3 linked regions of the Coturnix japonica genome follow. The protein of the gene in region 1 purifies or fractionates together with the protein of each later gene. This does not show direct contact. Links are inferred from orthologs where the notes say so. Each region holds a gene or a part of one and is shown in the gene's direction. Other genes may lie near its edges.

What was found.
Region 2: the proteins of SKI (region 1) and SIN3A purify together in Homo sapiens (affinity purification with western blotting; 3 studies listed by BioGRID and IntAct, with this or other methods). This does not show direct contact. The link is inferred for Coturnix japonica from reciprocal best matches to the Homo sapiens genes SKI and SIN3A.
Region 3: the proteins of SKI (region 1) and HDAC3 purify together in Homo sapiens (affinity purification with western blotting; 4 studies listed by BioGRID and IntAct, with this or other methods). This does not show direct contact. The link is inferred for Coturnix japonica from reciprocal best matches to the Homo sapiens genes SKI and HDAC3.

Annotation. Positions count from the first base shown.
Region 1 is NC_029536.1:1,422,684-1,426,336, reverse strand, and holds part of SKI (ski oncogene), read left to right. Parts: intron 1-838; coding exon 839-964; intron 965-1,465; coding exon 1,466-1,581; intron 1,582-2,051; coding exon 2,052-2,317; intron 2,318-3,001; coding exon 3,002-3,303; intron 3,304-3,653. UniProt on the Homo sapiens protein: May play a role in terminal differentiation of skeletal muscle cells but not in the determination of cells to the myogenic lineage. Functions as a repressor of TGF-beta signaling.
Region 2 is NC_029525.1:1,972,730-1,976,382, reverse strand, and holds part of SIN3A (paired amphipathic helix protein Sin3a), read left to right. Parts: coding exon 1-25; intron 26-360; coding exon 361-519; intron 520-1,288; coding exon 1,289-1,378; intron 1,379-2,272; coding exon 2,273-2,391; intron 2,392-3,390; coding exon 3,391-3,601; intron 3,602-3,653. UniProt on the Homo sapiens protein: Acts as a transcriptional repressor. Corepressor for REST. Interacts with MXI1 to repress MYC responsive genes and antagonize MYC oncogenic activities. Also interacts with MXD1-MAX heterodimers to repress transcription by tethering SIN3A to DNA.
Region 3 is NC_029528.1:14,744,409-14,746,715, forward strand, and holds part of HDAC3 (histone deacetylase 3), read left to right. Parts: coding exon 1-111; intron 112-365; coding exon 366-446; intron 447-524; coding exon 525-598; intron 599-837; coding exon 838-902; intron 903-1,214; coding exon 1,215-1,304; intron 1,305-1,426; coding exon 1,427-1,485; intron 1,486-1,889; coding exon 1,890-1,969; intron 1,970-2,307. UniProt on the Homo sapiens protein: Histone deacetylase that catalyzes the deacetylation of lysine residues on the N-terminal part of the core histones (H2A, H2B, H3 and H4), and some other non-histone substrates.

The DNA of each region.
Region 1 (3,653 bases):
GCTTGGTTCTGCCACCTCAATTAGAACCACATGGAAATGTGGTGAGTTCAGAACTGCAAAAAGGAGGATGAGAAGATGGAAGAGAAGCCGAGGCAACGTGCTGCTCTCCTTATTTGTAGCCATGGTGCACAGCAGGGTCCAGAACCTTCTCCCTCCTTGCCGGCAGACGAGTTTGTACTGGCAAGGCTTCAAGCTGGTGTCCCCAGTGCACCAGTTAAACCAGTAGTTACCAATTTTTTTGCAAGCCGCTGTGGGACTATAGGAATTTTATTCCTTCACAGTGTTGAAGGAAAGGGGCTTTGCTTGCCAAAGGGCTTTCTTATGCTTGGGGATGATTTATGGGCCAAGCTGAGCCACTTGTGGAAAAGGCAAAGCAGCTCTTGGCAGCACCCCCAGAATCCACTGCAGCTGTGGGGTAGTGAAGTCATCGGCATAACAACCACTGCAAACAGAATAACAAAGTCTGTTCTGTTCTCGTTTAAAATAATCTTTCCAGTTCAGCAACCACATTAAAATTTACCTTTCTGCATACAAAAATAATAAAAGGCAGATACTTCTTTGCAACATGGTGTGAATGTCTCACTTACATTTCTGCCTGTCACTCCTGCACCACCTACACTTTACCTGGGTGCTTTAAATGGAGGAATGAAACCACGTTGTGTTGTAATTTGTGCCTGCCCCATGTTTGCACTCCTTTGTTGTTCCTAAGAGTTAAAAATGTAGGCAAAAAGTGATGTTTCTTAGTTTCAGATACAAAACTTGCCTTTGCTTCATATCTCATTTCTAAGCTGATTGCAAAATGAGTAACTGTCTTTGATTTCTTCTGTCTTTACTTCAGGTCCCTTCAGATCCTCCTGCTTCCAAGAAAACCAAATTAGACGACTCTGCTTCCCAATCTCCAGCTTCTACCGAGAAGGAAAAGCAGTCCAGTTGGTTACGGTCCTTATCCAGTTCGTCTAATAAGGTGATTGCTGAGTATTCTGTAATTAAAAGAGAGATCAAATGACCGTGTAACATCCCTCTACTAAAACCAGAGGAGTTAATGTGAGAAAGACCTTGCCCAGGCTTTCTAAATTAATCACATTTCTATCCTTTTCCTAGCAAGCATTGAGCTATGCGGTCCTCCCAATTCCCTTGCCATCTTCCAGTGTTCACTGACCTTGATTGTGATGATGGAGTAAGCAATTCCTTCGTGCCTTTGAGGTACAAGAATCCTGAAACTCAGGAGCCTCACGTGGTCTGTGCAAACCACGGATAACTTGCTGGCAAAGAAAAGAGAACGTGGGGTTTCACATTGGTGGAGTTACCTCTTCTAGTGGAACCCGCTAAGCCAATAGGCCTTAGCCAGTGGGGGAGCAGCTTTAGAGATAAGAGAACACATACTTAACAGAACTATTAGTGCTCTGTTGGGATTAATACTTTTTAAAGATTGTTTGTACTTACTTTTCCTTCTCCTCCTTCCCAGAGTATTGGCTGTGTCCATCCCCGTCAGCGTCTCTCAGCTTTCCGGCCCTGGTCCCCTGCTGTATCAGCAAACGAGAAAGAGCTCTCAACCCATCTTCCTGCATTGATCCGAGACAGGTAAGGAGGTGGCTGCTGAGGGAGGAATGGGGCTGGCAACTGTGGAGAATAATTGGCGAGCAAGTTGCTTTATGTTTGTTGCCTTGCACTGTTTGTTAGTTGATCAGTTCACTAGTATTGGAATAAAAAGTATTTGCAGTTGCAGTGTTTTAGTTAGCAGGAAGGAAACAAAAAATATTACTGGCATTGCGTGCATTCATTAAATATGTTTGTTAAGTGGGCATTTGGGTGAAATGTGCTGTAAGAGTCTGAAATGGTGGCTGCTTCCATGAAGTGCAGATAATTTGGGGGAACAGTTAGCAGAAACTCTCAGGGTGTTTAAAGGTGTCAGAGGAGGCCTTCAGGCACCCAAAGTTGGGGAAAAAATACCTAAACCTCCATCATTTTCAGTGTAATTAGATGGATTGGGAAGCGTTTTCAAGTCCAAGAATATGACTGTTTTCTCCTTCCTTCTGCTCCCTCCTCTCAAGCAGTTTTTACTCCTACAAAAGCTTTGAGAATGCAGTGGCTCCCAATGTGGCACTCGCACCTCCTGCCCAACAGAAAGTTGTGAGCAACCCACCCTGTGCCACAGTGGTGTCCCGGAGCAGCGAACCACCAAGCAGCACTGCACAGCCACGGAAAAGAAAACATGCTGCAGAGACCCCGGCTGTCCCAGAGCCAGTGGCCACTGTTACTGCCCCTGAAGAGGATAAGGAATCAGAAGCAGAAATTGAAGTAGAGACCAGGGAGGAATGTAAGTGTAGATCTGCCTTTATTTGTGCTCTAACCCCCAGCAGTTAGCTACTGAACTCTGTTGTATTCAAATATGATTCTGGAGGCCTGATACCTCAATGGCACATTAAGATACAGCCTTTGGTAATAATGAAAAGTTCATAACTAAACAGCAAAGCCTTTGTGGGGTATGAACATGTAGCCCATGTGTTCAGCCTGAGAGTGCAGTTGTAGTTTCAGAGCTACAGCCATGCAGCTGAATGTATAAGGCAGGGATCAGGATTCAGAATGTTCTTAGACAGTATTGGCGTCTTGGGCCCCTCAGTGAAAGATGAAGATAGAGCTGTTCCCTTCCCAAAACATCCTTTAGAGAATCCTGCTGCTGATCTCAGTATGTTCAGTCCAAACCTGTGTGCAGTTTTGGCAAAGGAACAGGTTCTACCCACTGAAAAAGCCAGGATCACATAGAGCTGTGATGTAAGACAAAGTCACAATTCAAGCAATAAGTTGGTCCTCTGAGTTACTCAGGTTTGCATTCTCATCACACTTCAAGCCTCAAAGTATAAAACGAGTATTTTCTTTCTTCCATTTTTTTCATTAATTATTGACTGTCTCCTCTTTAGAAATGGGGCTCAACATATTTTGAGTTACATTTGTTTTCTACATTATTTTTTTTTTATTAATTTTAGATGTTTCTATTTTTCAGTCACCTCCTCCTTATCCTCGCTCTCCTCCCCATCCTTTACTTCATCCAGCTCTGCAAAGGACATGAGCTCACCTGGGATGCAAGCCCCAGTCCCAGTCAACAGTTCATATGAGGTTGCAGCACATTCTGACTCTCACAGCAGTGGGTTGGAAGCTGAGCTGGAGCACCTAAGGCAGGCCCTGGACAGTGGCCTAGATACAAAAGAAGCCAAAGAAAAATTCCTCCATGAAGTTGTTAAAATGAGAGTGAAGCAGGAAGAGAAGCTAAATGCTGCCTTGCAAGCCAAACGCAGCCTACATCAGGTAATGTTGAAGAATAGCTTTCTCTTATCACTGTCTGCAGATGCTCTTCCAGATAGAAACCATTAAGTTGTCTCATGTTAGAAAGAATTGCCTCATTTTTCCCAAATAGCAACAGCCTTTACTGGAGAAGGGTTTGTAAATTCAGCTGGGAAACCAAACTATACAGGAACCATTCTTTTTTTCTTTTTTTTCAAGCTTGCCACCTGTTTTTGCTTTAGAGGATAAATCCATGGTTACCAAAATCAACATTTTTCCTTTACTGAAAAAAAATCCTTCTATCCCAGCACAGTTTATTTGACTTTAATTTCACTGAAACGTCTCCGTCATTTTGGAGCTTTTACTTATAGTTT
Region 2 (3,653 bases), on another chromosome or scaffold:
TCTGCCAGATGCCAACAGCTCAGTGGTGAGTCTATTTGAGGCAGGCTGGGGCTGGAGTACTTAGTGGGGAAGTGCTCATATAGGGAGCCAGTGCTCAGAACAACAGGCTTTTCTTGTCTTTCATTGTTGGAGTGGTCATATTTTATGGAGTTTAGGAGATGGGTCAGGATGATAGACTGTTTTCTGTCAATAACTAGTCTTTTCAATACAATTCCTTTGCTTGGAAGGGTTGTTCTAAGGCTTCCATAACCATAGTAAGGTAGTTTGGTCACCTAGAGCTGGGAGGAGCAGGCGTACTAGTGTTTGGCTGAGGAGGTAAAGCTCGGCTCTGATGGTCTTGTGCCTTTGTTTGTAACTAAGCTGTTAAGCAAGACGACTGCAGAGAAGGTGGAGTCAGTGAGAAATGATCACGGTGGCACAGTAAAGAAGCCACAGCTCAACAACAAGCAGCAAAGACCCAACCAGAACGGCTGTCAGATCCGGCGGCACTCGGGTGCGGGGACAACCCCTCCAGTGAAGGTAATGGCACGTGCTTCTAGCTCAGCAGCTTTGTGTTTCCCAGGAAACTAAAGCAAAACTTAGAGCAGAATCAGGCTTATTCATTTTTCATGTGATAAATGTTGTCGTGCAGCAATAAATGATGATTCCTGCAGCTGAGTTTGCCCTCTTCAGCTTACTCACATTTTGAGAGCGCAAGGCTTAGCTGTGTCAGAAGAATGGTCTGGTGGGTTTAGAGCCTCTGCACTAGGACAAGTGTGCTTGCTTTGTGTGCTATGTCTTGTGTGGGGAAGAAAAGTATTGGCACATCCAGCTGTATCATTTAAATCCAGTGACTTTCTTCCCCTTCCAGCTTTTCTCCTCAAAATGCAGCCAATTAAAACCTGTTCGGAGGCAGCTTTAAGCCTTTGTGGAGTACAGGAGGTAGAAGTTCACTGCTTTTAGGGAGGTGTAAGAGTCAACTGAATGATTGATGATGGTTTAAAAATGTCCTGATAATCCTGCACACTAGTTAGAAACTGAGATACTACAAGCAGTGATTGTTTCAGTCAACTTGTTAGAGGAAAAGATATCACCTTGTATTAAAAATACAAGGTGTTCTGTGCAACTAATTGAAGATGAATAGGTTAACGTGGAGGCCACGTTTTAAACAAGTTTCCTTCTGAAAAAGCCCCTCTTATGTTTGAGAACAAGTGGTGTGGTTTGGAGGCTGAAGCCCTTGCGTGATACGTGGTCAAAATACAGTGACTTCCTCTGCTGAACAGCCCTTTTCTGTGTTATTTCTTAACAGAAGAAACCAAAGCTGCTTGGTTTAAAAGACCAGTCCTTGGCAGAAGCCAGCAAGCATGGTGTGGGGACAGAATCCCTGTTCTTTGAGAAGGTGAGCGGTGAGACTGAGAGAGTACGCTCTGGTGTCACTGATTGATGCCTGTAGCCTGCATACATCCTGATTTCTTTGTCACAGTGAGGTCTGGGATATATATGCCACGCTGATAACATCGGTCTACTTGACCTCAGCTGTATTGTCTGACCTCTGTGTCAGATCTGCTGCATTTTATAAAAGACTGGTAGTGTTCTTTACACGGACGTCTGTGTCTTTTTGTTTTCCCTGGGGGTCATTCTTTACCTTCTCACCTGCTGCTGATGCTCTGTGGGAGAAAGGCTTGGCATCAGAGCCTTGCTGACGTGTGTTTTTCAGCACACTAAACCAGCTGGTGGGGACTGGGAACCACTCTATCACTCGGAGGATGCGTAGGTGTTCCCATGAGTAAACGTAGAAATCCCTGCTGCAGAACTGTAACTGTAATGATGAATTCCTTAATAATGATAGATCTGTTTGATGTGTAGATGCTAACTGTTCTCGTGGGAAAAGTAATGGTGTTGGAATGAATTGCACTGTTTTCTCGTGCTGAGGGCTGCAGAGCTTGCTGCATCTGGGATGATTTGAGCTGTAATGTGGTGGGGGGGCTGGAGGGGTGTTCACTGTGACATGGGTCTCTTAGCCTTGATCCCCACCCAGGTGGGTCCATGGTGCTGCAGGCACAACTGGGCTTGTCTGTGGTCCAGCTGCTGGGAGTTTCATTCATCTCAAGGTAATGCACTTGAGTGGCAGGCGTAACAGCAAGGAGATGGCTTCCTTCTTCTTTCTGGCTCCTTGGAGCCTCTCCAACAAAGTCCTGCATAGGTGGAGGAAGCACAGTGTTGAATGCAAACCTCCTGGGTTCTGATGGACGAGCTGCTCTCACCTTAACCCTTTCCCCTCTTCTTCCCCAAGGTCCGCAAAGCTCTGCGAAGCACAGAAGCATATGAAAACTTCCTTCGCTGCCTGGTTATTTTCAACCAGGAGGTGATATCCCGTGCAGAGCTGGTGCAGCTAGTTTCCCCTTTCCTGGGGTAAGTGGAGCCTGCTTCTTTGTGTGAGGGGAGAAGCTAAATCCAGTGCATCTGTTGGTGATGCGCAGCAGGGAATGAAATGCCAACCTTTGTGGCTGTGTAGTTTGTATTATCGTTGTATTATTACTAGTCCACATCATGCTATTGTGGCCTCATGCTCTGGAACCATAGATTATTTCACTCAAGAAAAGCTCAACTGTCCAATTACATAGGAAATGTCCCCTAAAAAATAAAGGAGTGCTTATACAAAGCCATTAAAATTACCAAAAAAGCAACTGTGTTCTGCCCTGAAGCCAAACCTGATAATCAGTACTGTTGTTTAATAGAAATTATAACTTCGAGTACTGTACAGAATGAGTCTGTATTAATCACAAAAAATCACTAATAATTATCCTCTCATCAGCTTGGGGCAACTGTTTCTGTGATTTGAGCTCCTGGTTCCTAGGCAGAGGGCAGCAGCAATGTAAATTGGGTTTGAGACCCCATTATGTTGGTTGCTGTGCAAGGCAAGTACCCCAAAGAACTTATGTTTTCTGCAGCTCCATTGGAATTAGGCATCAGCAGGACGCTGGTTTTGGTTAGGAAAGGTGAAATATTCAACATAAATAAACAACAACCTGGGTTTCTTCCATTTTCCACCTGTGCTGGAAGGGTGAATATCTGTGTTGGAAAAGGTGTCCTGCAGTTCTCTTACTCTGAAGTCAGACATTACTTTCAGTCGTGTAATAGGAAAGCAATAGATGAGCAGTGATTCCAGTAACAGGCCCGATTTCTCATATCACTGCAGCTGTCCACCACCTGACCAACAGGAACTTGGTTCCCACTTGGTGCAAGTGGGATTGAGCAGAGAGGTCCTCACACCAAACTGCTTCAGAGGGTCTTCTTGGGCATCTGTGTCTCTTACAAGCATTTCTAGCCTCAGTAGCACAGCTCAGCACCGCATGCTGCTTCCTGTTTAGCTGGATGGGTTTTTTTTCACTTCATTCCTTTTATTTCTAGGAAATTTCCCGAACTGTTCACTTGGTTTAAAAACTTTCTGGGCTATAAGGAGTCTGTTCATATGGAGACGTATCCCAAGGAACGGGCAACTGAAGGGATTGCCATGGAGATAGACTATGCCTCCTGTAAAAGGCTGGGCTCCAGCTACCGCGCCTTGCCCAAGAGCTACCAGCAGCCCAAGTGCACGGGGCGGACGCCACTGTGTAAAGAGGTAAGCAGCTCCTTTCATGTATCCACCTTTTGGTTGGAGAGGAGTGGTGCTG
Region 3 (2,307 bases), on another chromosome or scaffold:
TTGATATTGATATCCATCACGGAGATGGCGTGCAGGAAGCTTTCTACTTGACAGACCGTGTCATGACCGTGTCGTTTCATAAATATGGCAACTATTTCTTTCCTGGTACAGGTATGTAGCTTTCTTTGCTGTGTGAACTTGGCCTTGTTTCAGAGTCCTTCAAAAGTGCTGCTGGTGTTTAGGGGTCTAAAATGATTATAGAACTACAGGGACAAATGTTGGAAGGAGGGGCATGGAGAAGCAGCTAGAGAGGAACAGAACTATAATTCTTTGTAGTAAAGAGATTGTAGCTGGGTTAACAGACCAGATCTGGCCTTCTGGCTCCTCTTAGGGCTGTTGTGACTCTTCTGTCTTTCCTTGGCCAGGGGACATGTATGAAGTTGGTGCGGAGAGCGGTCGTTATTATTGTCTCAACGTGCCTCTACGAGATGGTATCGATGACCAAAGTAAGTTGGTGTCCCTTGCCCAAATGTTCTTTGATCCTTTTCTCCAGAGCCATGACAAACTTATTTTTCTCCCCAAAGGTTATAAACACCTCTTCCAACCAGTCATTAACCAGGTGGTAGATTACTATCAGCCCACCTGCATCGTATTGCAGGTAAGGAAATAAGCCTTTGTGCACATGCACGTTCTTGTCAGTGGCTGTAGTTCGAAGGGCCATTTCTCAAACATGTTACTTTCTGTTCCTGGGAGGTCAGGGTTGGTGTGACCCATCTGAACTGCTGGCTGAAATCACCTTTGCTGAATGCAGTTGGCAGAGGGGTAGGGATGCCAATGTGTGTCTGGAAATCAATGCCTATCTAGCCAAAATTCAATTGTTCTTTTTCTCTTCCCCAGTGTGGTGCGGATTCTCTGGGTTGTGACCGTTTGGGCTGCTTTAACCTCAGTATAAGAGGACATGGGTAAGTACAGCAGGGTTGGGACACAGCAAAAGGACTGCAGGTGGTCCTGCATTGTAAGACCTGAGCTTTGACTTTGGCCTTCCAGCTGCACCAACTTTGCTTTAAACTGCTGTGTGACAGAGACTCTCATAATGGGGCTTTGTAGAAAAGCAGTAGTTCACAGAGTAGCACATGGTTCAGGACCTGAGTAGGAGCCCTGAGCCCCATGTTTGTCACACCAGCCGTGGTGGTGAATGAACACACAGTGAAACTTTGGGCATGTGAATGTGTGCTGCAGGTAGCAGCTCTGATGTGTTTCTTTGGGGTTTCTAGGGAGTGTGTGGAGTACGTAAAGAGTTTCAACATCCCCTTACTGGTGCTGGGAGGAGGCGGTTACACAGTCCGCAATGTGGCACGGTGCTGGTGAGTCTTATGGGCCTGTTGTATATTTGATGAGGCATTTGCTGTGGGCTTTGTCCCTACATGCACCCTGTTGCTTTCTCTGGACTGAGCTCATCTTAATCTGGTTTTTGGTTTTTTTTCAGGACTTACGAAACATCGTTGCTTGTAGATGAAGCAATTAGTGAGGAGCTCCCATATAGTGGTAAGTTCAGGTTCCCTTGTTTTCCTTATTAGTTGAGCTAAAGCAGTTGTATCAGCATAAGACTTAGCACTTCATTCTGTGTTGACCAGGGCCAAAGAGACAACACTTTTTAACCTTACTTAGTCCTGATTCCCTTCCATCTCCCCTTTGTAGGCTTATCTGATGCAGTAAGGATGTGTCTGCTCAGCATTTTGTTTGGATCACTTCAATGACTCGAGCATTACTTCTGCTGACTCTCATTTCATGTAATTTTTTGCAGTTGCAGAGTTGTACATCACTGTGGTTTATAGGGTCTGGTTACCTCTAGCAAGGTGGGAGGGTGAGCTCTGCTTCCCTACAGAGCTCTGCATCTGCTGACTGACTCCTTTGCCCTCCTGCTTTAAATCCTGCTCATGCTTTCACAGAGTACTTTGAATACTTCGCTCCAGATTTCACTCTTCATCCTGACGTCAGTACAAGGATAGAAAATCAGAACTCCAGGCAGGTGAGTGCCTGCATGTCTGGCCCCAGAACCTTGTGGTAGATGCTCTATCCTGCAAAATGAGATGGAGCCCAGGCTAGGAATTGTGGCTGCAGAAAGCTGATAGAGAAAAGCAAATACATTTGCTCTGGCACAACAGAAAGTCTCAAAGGGTCTATAATATTTCTGAACTCTGCTGGATTGTCCTACTTTTTTCTGAGTGCTGGAGCCTCAGTGATTGAATTAACTTTCCCATCTCTTCTGCTCTGCTGAATAGCTTTCTGCACAAAGGCATTTCTCATGGCCACCACACAGATGATGTAGGCAGGCAGTAGAGCTGACTGTTGTGGCTCTGAGTGAAG